3 linked regions of the Sus scrofa genome follow. The protein of the gene in region 3 purifies or fractionates together with the protein of the main gene of each other region. This does not show direct contact. Links are inferred from orthologs where the notes say so. Each region holds a gene or a part of one and is shown on either strand. Other genes may lie near its edges. The genes, in order: EXOC7, EXOC3 and EXOC6.

Region 1 (3,650 bases), on a different chromosome or scaffold from region 3:
TGATTCAACCCCTAGCCTGGGAACCTCCATATGCCATGGGCGCAGCCCTAAAGAAAACTGGACAATCCAAAAATGCAAACGAGCCTGGAGAAGTATGGATGCTGTGGTACATTTCAGCAGGTCCCAACAAGTGTATCCCAAGGAACCCCATGTGAAAAACGGACCAGTGCACAGAGGCTCTGGCCGAAGGGGGTTGAGGGGTCTGAAGGCGGCCACTGGCCTCTCTCTTATCCCAAGGGAGCTCCTGAAAAGCTCCCACGTGCCCTCGGCTCCCACGGAGCAGCTTGTGAGCCACAAATGTGACTGCGTGGTTAGGAGAGGCTGTCCTGAGACTCAGCAGCACGTTGCCCCAGCGGGAAGGCAGGGGCAGTGATGACACACTCTGACAACTTGGTATGTGTGCAATTTAACAGAGAGAAAAGGAGTTCCCATTGTGGCGCAGTGGAAACGAATCCGACTAGGAACCATGAGGTTGTGGGTTCGATCCCTGGCCTCGATCAATGGGTTAAGGATCCAGCGTTGCTATGGCTGTGGTGTAGGCTGGCAGCTACAGCTCTGATTAGACCCCTAGCCTGGGAACCTCCATATGCCGCGGGTGCGGCCCTATAGAGACAAAAGGCAAAAACAAAACAAAAAACAGAGAAAAGAAGAGTTTAGAGACTAAAAAGCTTAAAATTGAATATTCGTTAGAATTTTAGGGGTTTTGTTTCTGGTTTTGGCTGCACCTGTGGTATGTGGAAGTTCTGGGGCCAGGGACTGAACCCCCGCCACAGCAGTGACCCAAGCTGCTACAGTGACAACACTGGATCCTTAATTAACCACAAGAGAACTTCTGAGGTTTTGTTGTTGTTTTTTTTAAATTTTTGTTTAACTTGGGATTTTTTTTTTTAGAGTCTGGGACTGGCTAAAGAAATGATGGTACCACCACACCATGGAATATTATGCAACCGTTAAAAACAGTGAAGCAAATATACACGTAATGATATGGAAAATTCTCAAGGCATATCACTAAGTTAAAAACAAAAGCCAAAAAACCAGCATAGGACAGAGGATGGCATGTGCTCCTTCCCACCTGGGGATGAGGAGAGGAAACGCCACACACATACTCTCTGTGTCTGTCTGTCTGTCTGTCTGTCTCTCTCTCTCTCACACACACACACACACACAGAGCTGCATACCATTTTTCTGAAGGGTATAACTAATCTCAGCAGCACTCATCTTTGGTTTATGACACTGTAAGTATCAGGGAAGTGGGGAGGTGGACTTAACGCTTTTCACCTAAGCTTTGCTGTGCCGTTTGAATTTTTTTCCCCTCATTAAAGTTCCTGGGCCAGGGATTGAATCTGAGCTGCAGCCGCCACCTATGCCACAGCTGTGGCAACAATCGCTCTTTAGCCCACAGCACTGGGCTGCGGGTCGAACTTGTGCCTCCACAGCAATCCAAGCTGCTGCAGAGACAATGTTGGATCCGGGACCCCTGAGCCATAGCGGGACCTCCTGAAATTTTTATAATTAATCCAAAAAATTAAATAAATAGGAAAGTTAGGTATATGAAGAAATGCTTGGGGTGAGCTAGACTCTCAATTTGATACATAAGCTACAAATTTATTACTCATATTGCTTCCTACTGAACTCCTTTTTCTTCAAAGAAATGCAGGTGGATGAGAGACACCGACGGGAAAAGACCCCCTCCTCTGGCCCCGCGCGGGGCCCTGCTGCCCGGGCGTCTCACCTTGGTTGCGGCCGTATTCCACCAGCCAGCGGGCGATGCGGATCACGTCCTGCAGCACGCTCTCGGGCAGGTGCTCCAGGGGCACCTCGTCCGGCACCTCCAGGTCGTCCTCGCCACTGATCAGATCCAGGATGAGCACGGGCGACACGACCTTGCTGTGCCGGGTCATCAGGCTGCGGAACTCAGACTCCAGTGACTCCTTCCCCCGTTCAAACAGCAGCTTCTACGGGGTCAGGGAGGGAGGGAGGGAGGGCTGGGCTGCTGCTCCAGAGCTCAGCTGGACCTCGCCTCCCCACCCTCTCCCCTCGCCTTCCTGATCCTGGGCCTCGGCCCTCCCTGCCTGCACTTCCTTCTTGCCGGAGAAGAAATGCTGGGAAGCCTTCCTCGATCATTTCTTTCACCTTGTGTGCTCTTAAAATGTACACTCTCGGGTGAAACCCAGAGAGTTTTACAAGAAGGAGGTGCTTTACAAATATCAGCAGATGATTTTCTCGCTGCACCATTCATTTGTGTTCTTGCTTGAAAAGGTTTTACAGGGAGTTCCTGTCTTGGCGCAGCGGAAACGAATCCGACTAGGAACCGTGAGGTTGCGGGTTCGATCCCTGGCCTTGCTCAGTGGGTTAAGGATCCGGCATTGCTGTGAGCTATGGTGTAGGTCGCAGATGAGGCTCAGATCCCGCACTGCTGTGGCTGTGGTGTGGGCTGGCGGCCATAGCTCCGGTTGGACCCCTGGCCTTGGAACCTCCATGTGCCACAGGTGTAGCCCTAAAAAGACAAAAGACAAAAAAAAAGAAAAGGTTTTGCAGAAGAAGAAAAACAGATACACTGGACTATGTCAAGTTCAAAACTTTCATGCTGCAAATGATACCATGAAAAAAGTGAAAAGGGAGTTCCCATAGTGGCTCAGTGGTAAGGAATCTGACTAGTAACCATGAGGACACAGGTTCGATCCCCCACCTTGCTCAGTGGGTTAACGATCCGGCATTGCCGTGAGCTGTAGTGTAGGCTGGCAGCTGTAGCTTTAATTCGACCCCTGGCCTGGGGACTTACTTCCATGTGCCGCGGGGGTGGCCCTAAAAAGGGCAAAAAAAAAAAAGAAAAAAAAAGAAAAAGAAAAAGTGAAAAGTGAAAAGACAACCCATGGAATGAGAGAAAATGCTTGCAAATCGTGTATCTTATGGGAGACAGGTATCCAGGGCAGCTAAGAGACCTGGAAGCAGAAGTCCACACCACAGCAGGTGCTCAGGGTGCCATGCAACACTGTTCATGACAGCCCCAAAGGGGCGTGTCCACCAGCGAGGAACGGATGCATGAAACGTGGCAGATGCTTACACTGCAGCAGGATTCAGCCACACGATGAAAGGAGGCACTGACACAGGCCGCCACATGGAAGGACGTTGAAAGCACTCTGCTGAGTGAAGGCCAGACGGGAGAGGTCACGTATACTGCAGGCTTCCACTTACATGAGGTCCAAAGCAGGCAACATTTTCCAGCTGCATATGCTGGTTCCCAGGCTACGAGTCAAATGGGGGATACGGCTGCTGGCCTACCCCACAGCCACAGCGAGGTGGGACCTGAGCATCAGCATCCCACACCAGAAGTCCCGGCAATGCCGGATCCTCAACCCACCAAGCGAAGCCAGGGATCGAACCCGCATCCTCGTGGATGCTAGTCGGGTTTGTTAACTGCTGAGCCAGGAACAGGCAAATTTAGAGAGAGGAAATAGAGCAGTGATCATCAGAGGCTGGGTGGACGGGAGGGCAGGGAAGAAGAGTGACGGCCAGCGGGTTCTGGCTTTTGGGGGAGCGACGGGAACGTTGTAAAGTTTATTCTAGTGATGTCGCACAACTCTGCGATTACACGAGGACCAATGAATGTGATACTTTAAGGGGGCAAATTTCACGGTACGTGAATTCTA
Region 2 (3,650 bases), on a different chromosome or scaffold from region 3:
GCCCTGACACTGTCCCCAAGTGCCGTCAGGTCCCCGCGAGGCACAGAGAGCCCGTCTTCCTGTGTCTTCGATACGCAGAGAAACTCTGCAGATGCGGAATTTATAGGAGGTGTGCACAAACCCGGTGTGGATACCCGCAGGTACGTTTTCTCCTAATGGACTCCATCTGTTTATTGTGTGGATGCTGTGTAGTTTATGTGCCCAATTCTGATGGACATTTAAATGTTCTCATTTTGCTATTATAAAGAACGCTGCACTGCTGCACTGGGAGTTCCTGCTGTGGCTCAGCAGGTTAAGCATCTGGGCATTGCCCTGAACTGTGGCGTAGGTCGCAGACATGGCTCGGATCCTGAGTGGCTGTGGCCGTGGTGTAGGCTGGCAGCTATAGCTCTGATTCAACCCCTAGCCTGGGAACTTCCATATGCTGCAAGTACGGCCCTAAAAAGAAAAAAAAAAAAAGCTGCGCTGAATCTGTGTATTTCTGCAAGTGAAATCCCTAGAGGTGGAGCTGCTCAGTCTAAAGCATGCAGACTAAACCTTGATAACCGTTTCCCAACTGCCTCCAAAAACTGCACCAATTCACGGTTCCACAAGGGAACGAGAGGCTCTATCCCCACACTCTCAACACCAAGAAGAAACATTCTCAATCCGCGCTGTCCTGCTAAGCAACAAAACTACTCGGTTTTAACTTGCTGTTCTTTCAAGATCAGACGGGGCCTTTTGTTTTGTACTGAGGGTATCCGAACCCTTTTCTGTGAGACAGACGTTCACGTCCTTTGTCTACCTCTGTTGCAGTCTTTTTAAGGTATCTTGAGATGATTTTAAAAGCATACATTTCAATTGTTTCCTAATCCATTCCTGAGAAAGTAACAGACATCACGAAATGACCCCATCACCCCAGGAGCCCAGCAGGACCCTAGGTGATGATGAGTCTGTTTTTTAAATATGTTCTGACTCCTGCCAACTCTATGTAATGCTGAGCCATTTCTTTTTCTTTTTTTTTTTTTTTGTCTTTTTGCTATTTTTGGGGCCACTCCCGTGGCATATGGAGGTTCCCAGGCTAGGGGTCTAATCGGAGCTGTAGCCACCGGCCTACGCCAGAGCCACAGCAACTCGGGATCCGAGCCACGTCTGCAACCTACACCACAGCTCACGGCAACGCCGGATCCTTAACCCACTGAGCCGGGGCAGGGATCGAACCCGCAACCTCATGGTTCCTAGTCGGGTTCGTTAACCGCTGCGCCACGACGGGAACTCCTTGAGCCATTTCTGAAACAAACGCACTCACTCACTGGACACTGAGCCTTTGATCCGACCTGAATGTGCTTTGAGAACGACCATGCTTCTGCCTTTGCTCTGCGTGAGGCATGCACAGGCCTGCATGTGTCCCCGGTTCGGCTCTGGCATCAAGAGCTTGCTGATGCGTGTCACCGGGCCCTTGCCACGTCCTTGTTTCCACTCTAACCTACTGGGTGCTTAGGCCTCTAACATTTACTGCAGATGAGATTCGACCCTGCCTCGGGGGGCCCACCCAGCCTGTGGGGTCCACAGCACCGTGTCCCAGAGGTGGGCGGGCGGGCAGGAGGAGGCGCCCACCTCCAGGTCCAGGAAGACCTCCTCCAGCAAGCCGCTGCAGCCGTCCTTGGCGATGGCGTCCAGGACCCCGTCCATGCTCAGCTGGCTCAGAGCTGCGCCTTCTTCTGCTTCGTGTTTTAAATACTTTCTTTTTAAACTGACTATGGACTCCCTGCGAGGAGAGGGGATGGGGGCCCGGTGAGGCTGACGATGGCCTCCTGCGAGGAGAGGGGTCGGGGCCCGGTGAGGCTGACGATGGCCCCCCTGCGAGAAGAGGGGTCGGGGCCCGGTGAGGCTGACGATGGCCCCCCTGCGAGGAGAGGGTCGGGCCCCTCCGCCCGTGCCGCTCACTTGAAGGTCTGGCAGTTGTTGATGATGGCCACCATGTACTGCACGTAGCAGTGCGGCTGCTGGCGGTTCCGCAGGTGCTCCTCCTTGTACAGCTGCGCCTCCTCCTTGTACCTGGGGACACAGCCCGCATCAGAGCAGCCTCACGGGCGCGCCGGGGCGTCGCGACGGGCCGCCACCACTGTGCCTGAGGCATGATTCTGCCTCACTAACATCTGGCCAGATGAGTCTAAAGTTATGTGGGGTGTGAGCCACACTGACGGAAGCTGATCGTTTGAAACGGATCATTAAACCAGCTTCACGTCAGGCCGTGTGGAACGGCTCTGTGTTCCGACGCTCCAGACACGCTGCACATCTGTGCGGGCGGGTAAAGGACCACATTCCCCGGCCCGGGGCTTGCCGGAAACTCGTCCGACAGCGTGGGGAACACAGTCACCTCCGGGGTACAGTGTCCTTTTCGGGAACTTTCCCCGAAGAAATCAAACTAAAAATACACTAGACTCTTTAAGACATCATGAAAACAAACAACGGAGAGGCTACAGACTGCGTTTCTGTCTGTGCCATGAGCCTCTCGAGCACACACAGGAGCAGAATGTAGGACACAGCGTGTGTGACCTAAACAGACCTTAAGAAAGGAGCACATGGGAGCAGGCGGCGCGAGGGCAACAACTGAGCACCGATCCCGCCTCCTGTGCAGAGCACGGTTTGGGTGAGCCAAGAGCTGCGGCCCAAGAGGAAAACTTCTGCTTCTCCGAAGATGCTCAACAAGAGGCTGCCTCGGGCCGTGGACCCCACGGGGGGAAGCAGGTGGGCTGGCAGCAGGGCTGGCTGTCAGAGCCAGCCACCAGCCCGGACAAGGGACGCGTGCCTCCTCGCAGGCATGCGGAGCACCCTGCCTGGGCCGGGCTCCGGCGAGGCAGCGAGGAGATACGGGGGAACCTCGCAGGCGGGCAGAGGGGCCCAGGCTGATCCGTGTGTCTCCACAAGCCAGGGGCCTGATGCGGAGGGGCTGCTCCCCTGCACCACAGGACGCCGCCCTTCCGCCGCCCGGTCTGAGCACCACCACAGACAGGTAGGTCCGGGGCCACGGAAAACCCAAACCCAAGCCAGTATCAGGAGGCCCCGTGGAAGGCCTATCAGTGCTTTACGAGGGCGCCGGCGCTGTGCCCACGGGACAGAACACGGGAAGAAACGCCATGACGGCCGGGATGTGCTGCGGAGCACAGCGGACCCCCGAGCAGCATGGGCTTGAGCTGCGTGGGTTCCTACGCACGGAATTTTTTAATCAAGACACTATCCTTTCTGAATACCAGCCAGATCAGGACAATACAGTTCTGCACTTCATTAGACAAACAAAATATACTTTCTGCGTTAGCACGCTGGCAAGAATACATACCTACTTAAGAAAGAATTCATCTGCTGCAGACACAAAACCAGTACCTTTGTTTTCAAATCTTCACTTATCTGAGCAGCGACTTGAAGGTTCTGTTCGAACATCTGAAAATTGGAGAGCGTATGAGTCCTGACCCAGACTCACAAGCTGCGGGCTTCCCAGGACACAGGCCCCCCATCTGGCACCTGGCAGTCAGCAAAGTCCAAACTCAGAGAAAAAAAGAAAAAACTTGAAAAATAACAAAGTCAGTTAACCCAAGCTTTCTTACCAAGTAAAAACCCAGTGCGTTTCCTAATTACTTGCACAGGGGCCGGTCTCCACAAAGGGGGAAGGG
Region 3 (3,650 bases):
CGAGGCCAGGGATTGAACCTGCATTCTCATGGATACTAGTCGGATTCATTTCCGCTGCACCACAAAGGGAACTCCAAGGCCTAAGTTCTTAATGATTGCTACCTTATATTACTATCTTTAGTGTTATGATAGGTATTCTTCCCTCAAGAAGCTTACAGTTTATGTGTAAAAATATATGACATATACTTGAAAAATTTAAGTTACAATGTGAAGTAATGTAATTTTATTGTATATTTTATTTATAATTTGTCAGAGGGAGTAGAAAGGACTATATGTTTACCTTTTCTATAGTTGAAAAGATTACTTGGTATGGAGATACTGAGAAAGTCCTGCTGGAAGAAATGGAACTTGAATTGAACCTCAAACAATGGGCAACAGATGGGGAGTCACATTTTTGGAGGGCCCCAAGGCTAGCTTCAGGTTCAGTAATTCACTAGGAGGACTCACAGAATTTACCAAAGTTGTTATACTCACAGTTACTGTTTGCTACAGCAAAAAGATACAGATTAAAATTAACAAGAGATGGCATATGAGGCAGGGTCTAGGAGAGTCCCACTGGGGAGCTTCCAGTTGTCCCTTCCCAGTGGAATCCGTGTGGGTAGCAATGATATGTGGCAACACTCATGGAGTATTACTAACCAGGGAGGCTCTCCTAAGCCATGATGTCCAGAGTTTTTACCAGAGGTTTGTCCCCTTGATGCCACTAAGTGGTTTGAGTTGCTCATCCAAATTTTCAGGCCCTCCAAAGCTGTTACCGTGTGGCTTGATGGCTCCACCTACTATAAATCACATTATAAGTCACATTGTTAGCTTTGACTGTTTGGCATTGCTCAAGACACCCAAGTAAAAAAGGCATCTGTCATGCAGAACATTCCAAAGGCTAGCCTCCCAGGAATTGGGGGCAAGGGCCAAACCTTTCTTTGGGCAAGGTTAATCCTTTACTGCATGGTGGGTGGAAAAGTCCCTCAGTGTAGAGACAGCATGAGCTGAGATACTGGAGGAGTGCAAATGCCGTGTTTATAGAAAACATTGTGGTGACTGCAGTATGGCCTTATACTTGAAATTATGAACTCTGCAGCCAGACTACTGGGATTCATATCCTGGCTGTTGTGACATTTATGATAGTTACATAATTTTAATCTTTCTGTAAATTAGTAAGGGTAGTAATAATTCATACATTATAGACTTTGTCAAGATTAAAGAGTTAATACATAAAACACTCAGAATATGTCCTGAGGAGTTCCCTGGTATCCTAGTGGTTAAGGACCTGGCATTGTCACTGCTGTGGTACGGGTTCTGTCCGTGGCCTGGGGACTTCTGCATGCGGTAGGCATGGTCAAAAAAAGAGAAAAGACTATGCCCTGATGCATAGTAAATGCTGTAGAAACCAGGAGTTTGTTTATGCATTCCTTAATTATTCACTTAGTGATTCCTTTTTTGAGTACTTGTAAATTGAAGACTCATCTCCTGAGTCTCAGACCTTTATTTCCAGATCCCTAGTGATGTGTCTAGAAGGCTTATGGCTCTTTAAATATTAACATGTTCAAAAAGAATTTAAGTATTTTCTACCCAAATTATTTCTACTCATGTCAGTGCTATCATTCTAGCTTATTCAGAGATTTTTTGTAAAGATTTGGGTTAATAAAGAGTAAATTTTGGTGAACTGGGAAGTTAATGTTAGCTTTCTTTTTGTATATATACAGGTCTGTGTATGATGACCAACCAAATGCACACAAGAAGTTTATGGAAAAGTTGGATGCTTGTATCCGTAATCATGACAAGGAAATTGAGAAGATGTGTAATTTTCATCATCAGGGTTTTGTAGATGCTATTACAGAACTTCTTAAAGTAAGAACTGATGCAGAAAAACTGAAGGTAAGAAATACCTTTTTACCTTTGCTCTCATTAAATTACTCAAGTATTAATTTATAGTGCATATTTACAAACATTATTAAATGTGCTAACTTCAAGAAGTGAATTCGTGTATATATTTGGGAATGCTCTGTTAACACAGTTGTCATGCTAATGACAGAAGTAATCTCTCTTTTCTTTGTAAAGCAAGTAATGCATTGACTCAACAGGATTTCTTTCCATGCAGGGGAATGAATTAAAAAAGTTCACACAGTGAAAGTCCTCATGTCATCAGGGTTCTAAAGTAACAATTAGTACAATATTGATAAAAAGTTATCTTCTGAAAATTTAAAAAAACTTACTGTATGTAATTGTGTTCTCAAAATTATTTAATAATAGTGAAACTTTAAATTTTTTTTCTTTATTTAATAGCAGCATATAATATTCTTAAAGTTGGTCTACATTTTCTTCCACATAGCAAAAACATTTATTGAATGAGACCTAGATTTGTTTTGTCAGAATACAAAATACTTAGTTATAAGAATTGTCCTATTTCTCTTTCTTTACATTTGGAGAGCTTAGCAGCAGAACGACCCTGGTTCACCAAAGGTTATGATTAGAAAACCATTATATAAAGGATATTCAGATAACAAGAGACCAAATACAGCATCAATGAGGTCACTGAGCATCTTTGTTCAGAAATTAATGAGATTTTTAATAAACCAGAATGTGCTTCCTTACTATGATGACCTAATGAGTCACTTAATATGTGGGAAAATTTGAGGTTGAGCTTTGCCTGCACCTGCAGCATTAAAATGTTGCTGTGGATTGAGATTTCCGTGTTTGATGTTAATCAACCACCCAGTGTTTGCATTCAGCAAAGTATGAATGTTTAATTACCATAAAATGCAATCACCATTTCCTACAGACAATGAATGGCACATAGACCTCATTGAAGTTATCAAAAAGGGACCAGTGGTCAATTGGGTCAGTGATTTGAATTGTTTGACAGACTTAGAGAAGCAAGTAAAGTTCAAAAATCTAGATTAAATTTGAGAAGTTTGCCACAGAATCTGTTAAAAAGAACTGTCATAAGTAATTGAAGTTAACAAAAGCCCTTTTCAATCAAAAGTTCAAGTTCAAGCTGTAGAGTTAATTTGAATTTGCATTTCTTTGTTCTAAGTTTCTCATGAAGCATGATCTGATTACAAGGGTGAGCAGTTACATCAGGGCAGTTTTATGCATATTTGTCTAACTAAGGTGAAATTATTTTTAAGGTGCAAGTTACTGATACCAACCGAAGATTTCAAGATGCTGGAAAGGAGGTGAGAAAATGATACCTTTTTTTGTGCATTCAATATGTGGATACAATTTAACTGTTCATTTTAAAATATGAATGTTTCTTCTTTTTAAAGGTCATTGTCCAAACGGAAGATATTATTCGATGTAGAATTCAGCAGAGGAATATTACAACTGTAGTAGAAAAATTACAGTTATGCCTTCCAGGTGAGTTTAACTTGTCTGTAATGTAACATTCAGCCTGGCTGAACTGTAATTTAATGATAGCAGTTTAATAATAACGAGATGGTCATTATTCATTATGATAGTTACAGATTACTTGGTGATTGTCCCCCTAAATCCCATGGTTTTCTTTCCTATCTACTTTATTCCCTGAATTTTCATGGCTTTCTTTATCATAAGGCCCCTATTTGATGATCTTACGTCAGTCTCCTAGAACAAACTCTGCCTTTCCATCTCTTTTCTGCCTAGTTTGTCCTTTGTCCCTCCCCACCCCTCCA

Evidence for each region.
Region 1: the proteins of EXOC6 (region 3) and EXOC7 purify together in Homo sapiens (affinity purification with mass spectrometry; 4 studies listed by BioGRID and IntAct, counting the BioPlex papers as one, with this or other methods). This does not show direct contact. The link is inferred for Sus scrofa from reciprocal best matches to the Homo sapiens genes EXOC6 and EXOC7.
Region 2: the proteins of EXOC6 (region 3) and EXOC3 purify together in Homo sapiens (affinity purification with mass spectrometry; 6 studies listed by BioGRID and IntAct, counting the BioPlex papers as one, with this or other methods). This does not show direct contact. The link is inferred for Sus scrofa from reciprocal best matches to the Homo sapiens genes EXOC6 and EXOC3.

Annotation. Positions count from the first base shown.
Region 1 is NC_010454.4:5,337,992-5,341,641, reverse strand, and holds part of EXOC7 (exocyst complex component 7), read right to left. Parts: intron 1,956-3,650; coding exon 1,733-1,955; intron 1-1,732. UniProt on the Homo sapiens protein: Component of the exocyst complex involved in the docking of exocytic vesicles with fusion sites on the plasma membrane.
Region 2 is NC_010458.4:79,709,766-79,713,415, forward strand, and holds part of EXOC3 (exocyst complex component 3), read right to left. Parts: intron 3,421-3,650; coding exon 3,320-3,420; intron 2,038-3,319; coding exon 1,927-2,037; intron 1,748-1,926; coding exon 1,597-1,747; intron 1-1,596. UniProt on the Homo sapiens protein: Component of the exocyst complex involved in the docking of exocytic vesicles with fusion sites on the plasma membrane.
Region 3 is NC_010456.5:104,382,351-104,386,000, forward strand, and holds part of EXOC6 (exocyst complex component 6), read left to right. Parts: intron 1-1,703; coding exon 1,704-1,875; intron 1,876-3,128; coding exon 3,129-3,176; intron 3,177-3,266; coding exon 3,267-3,357; intron 3,358-3,650. UniProt on the Homo sapiens protein: Component of the exocyst complex involved in the docking of exocytic vesicles with fusion sites on the plasma membrane.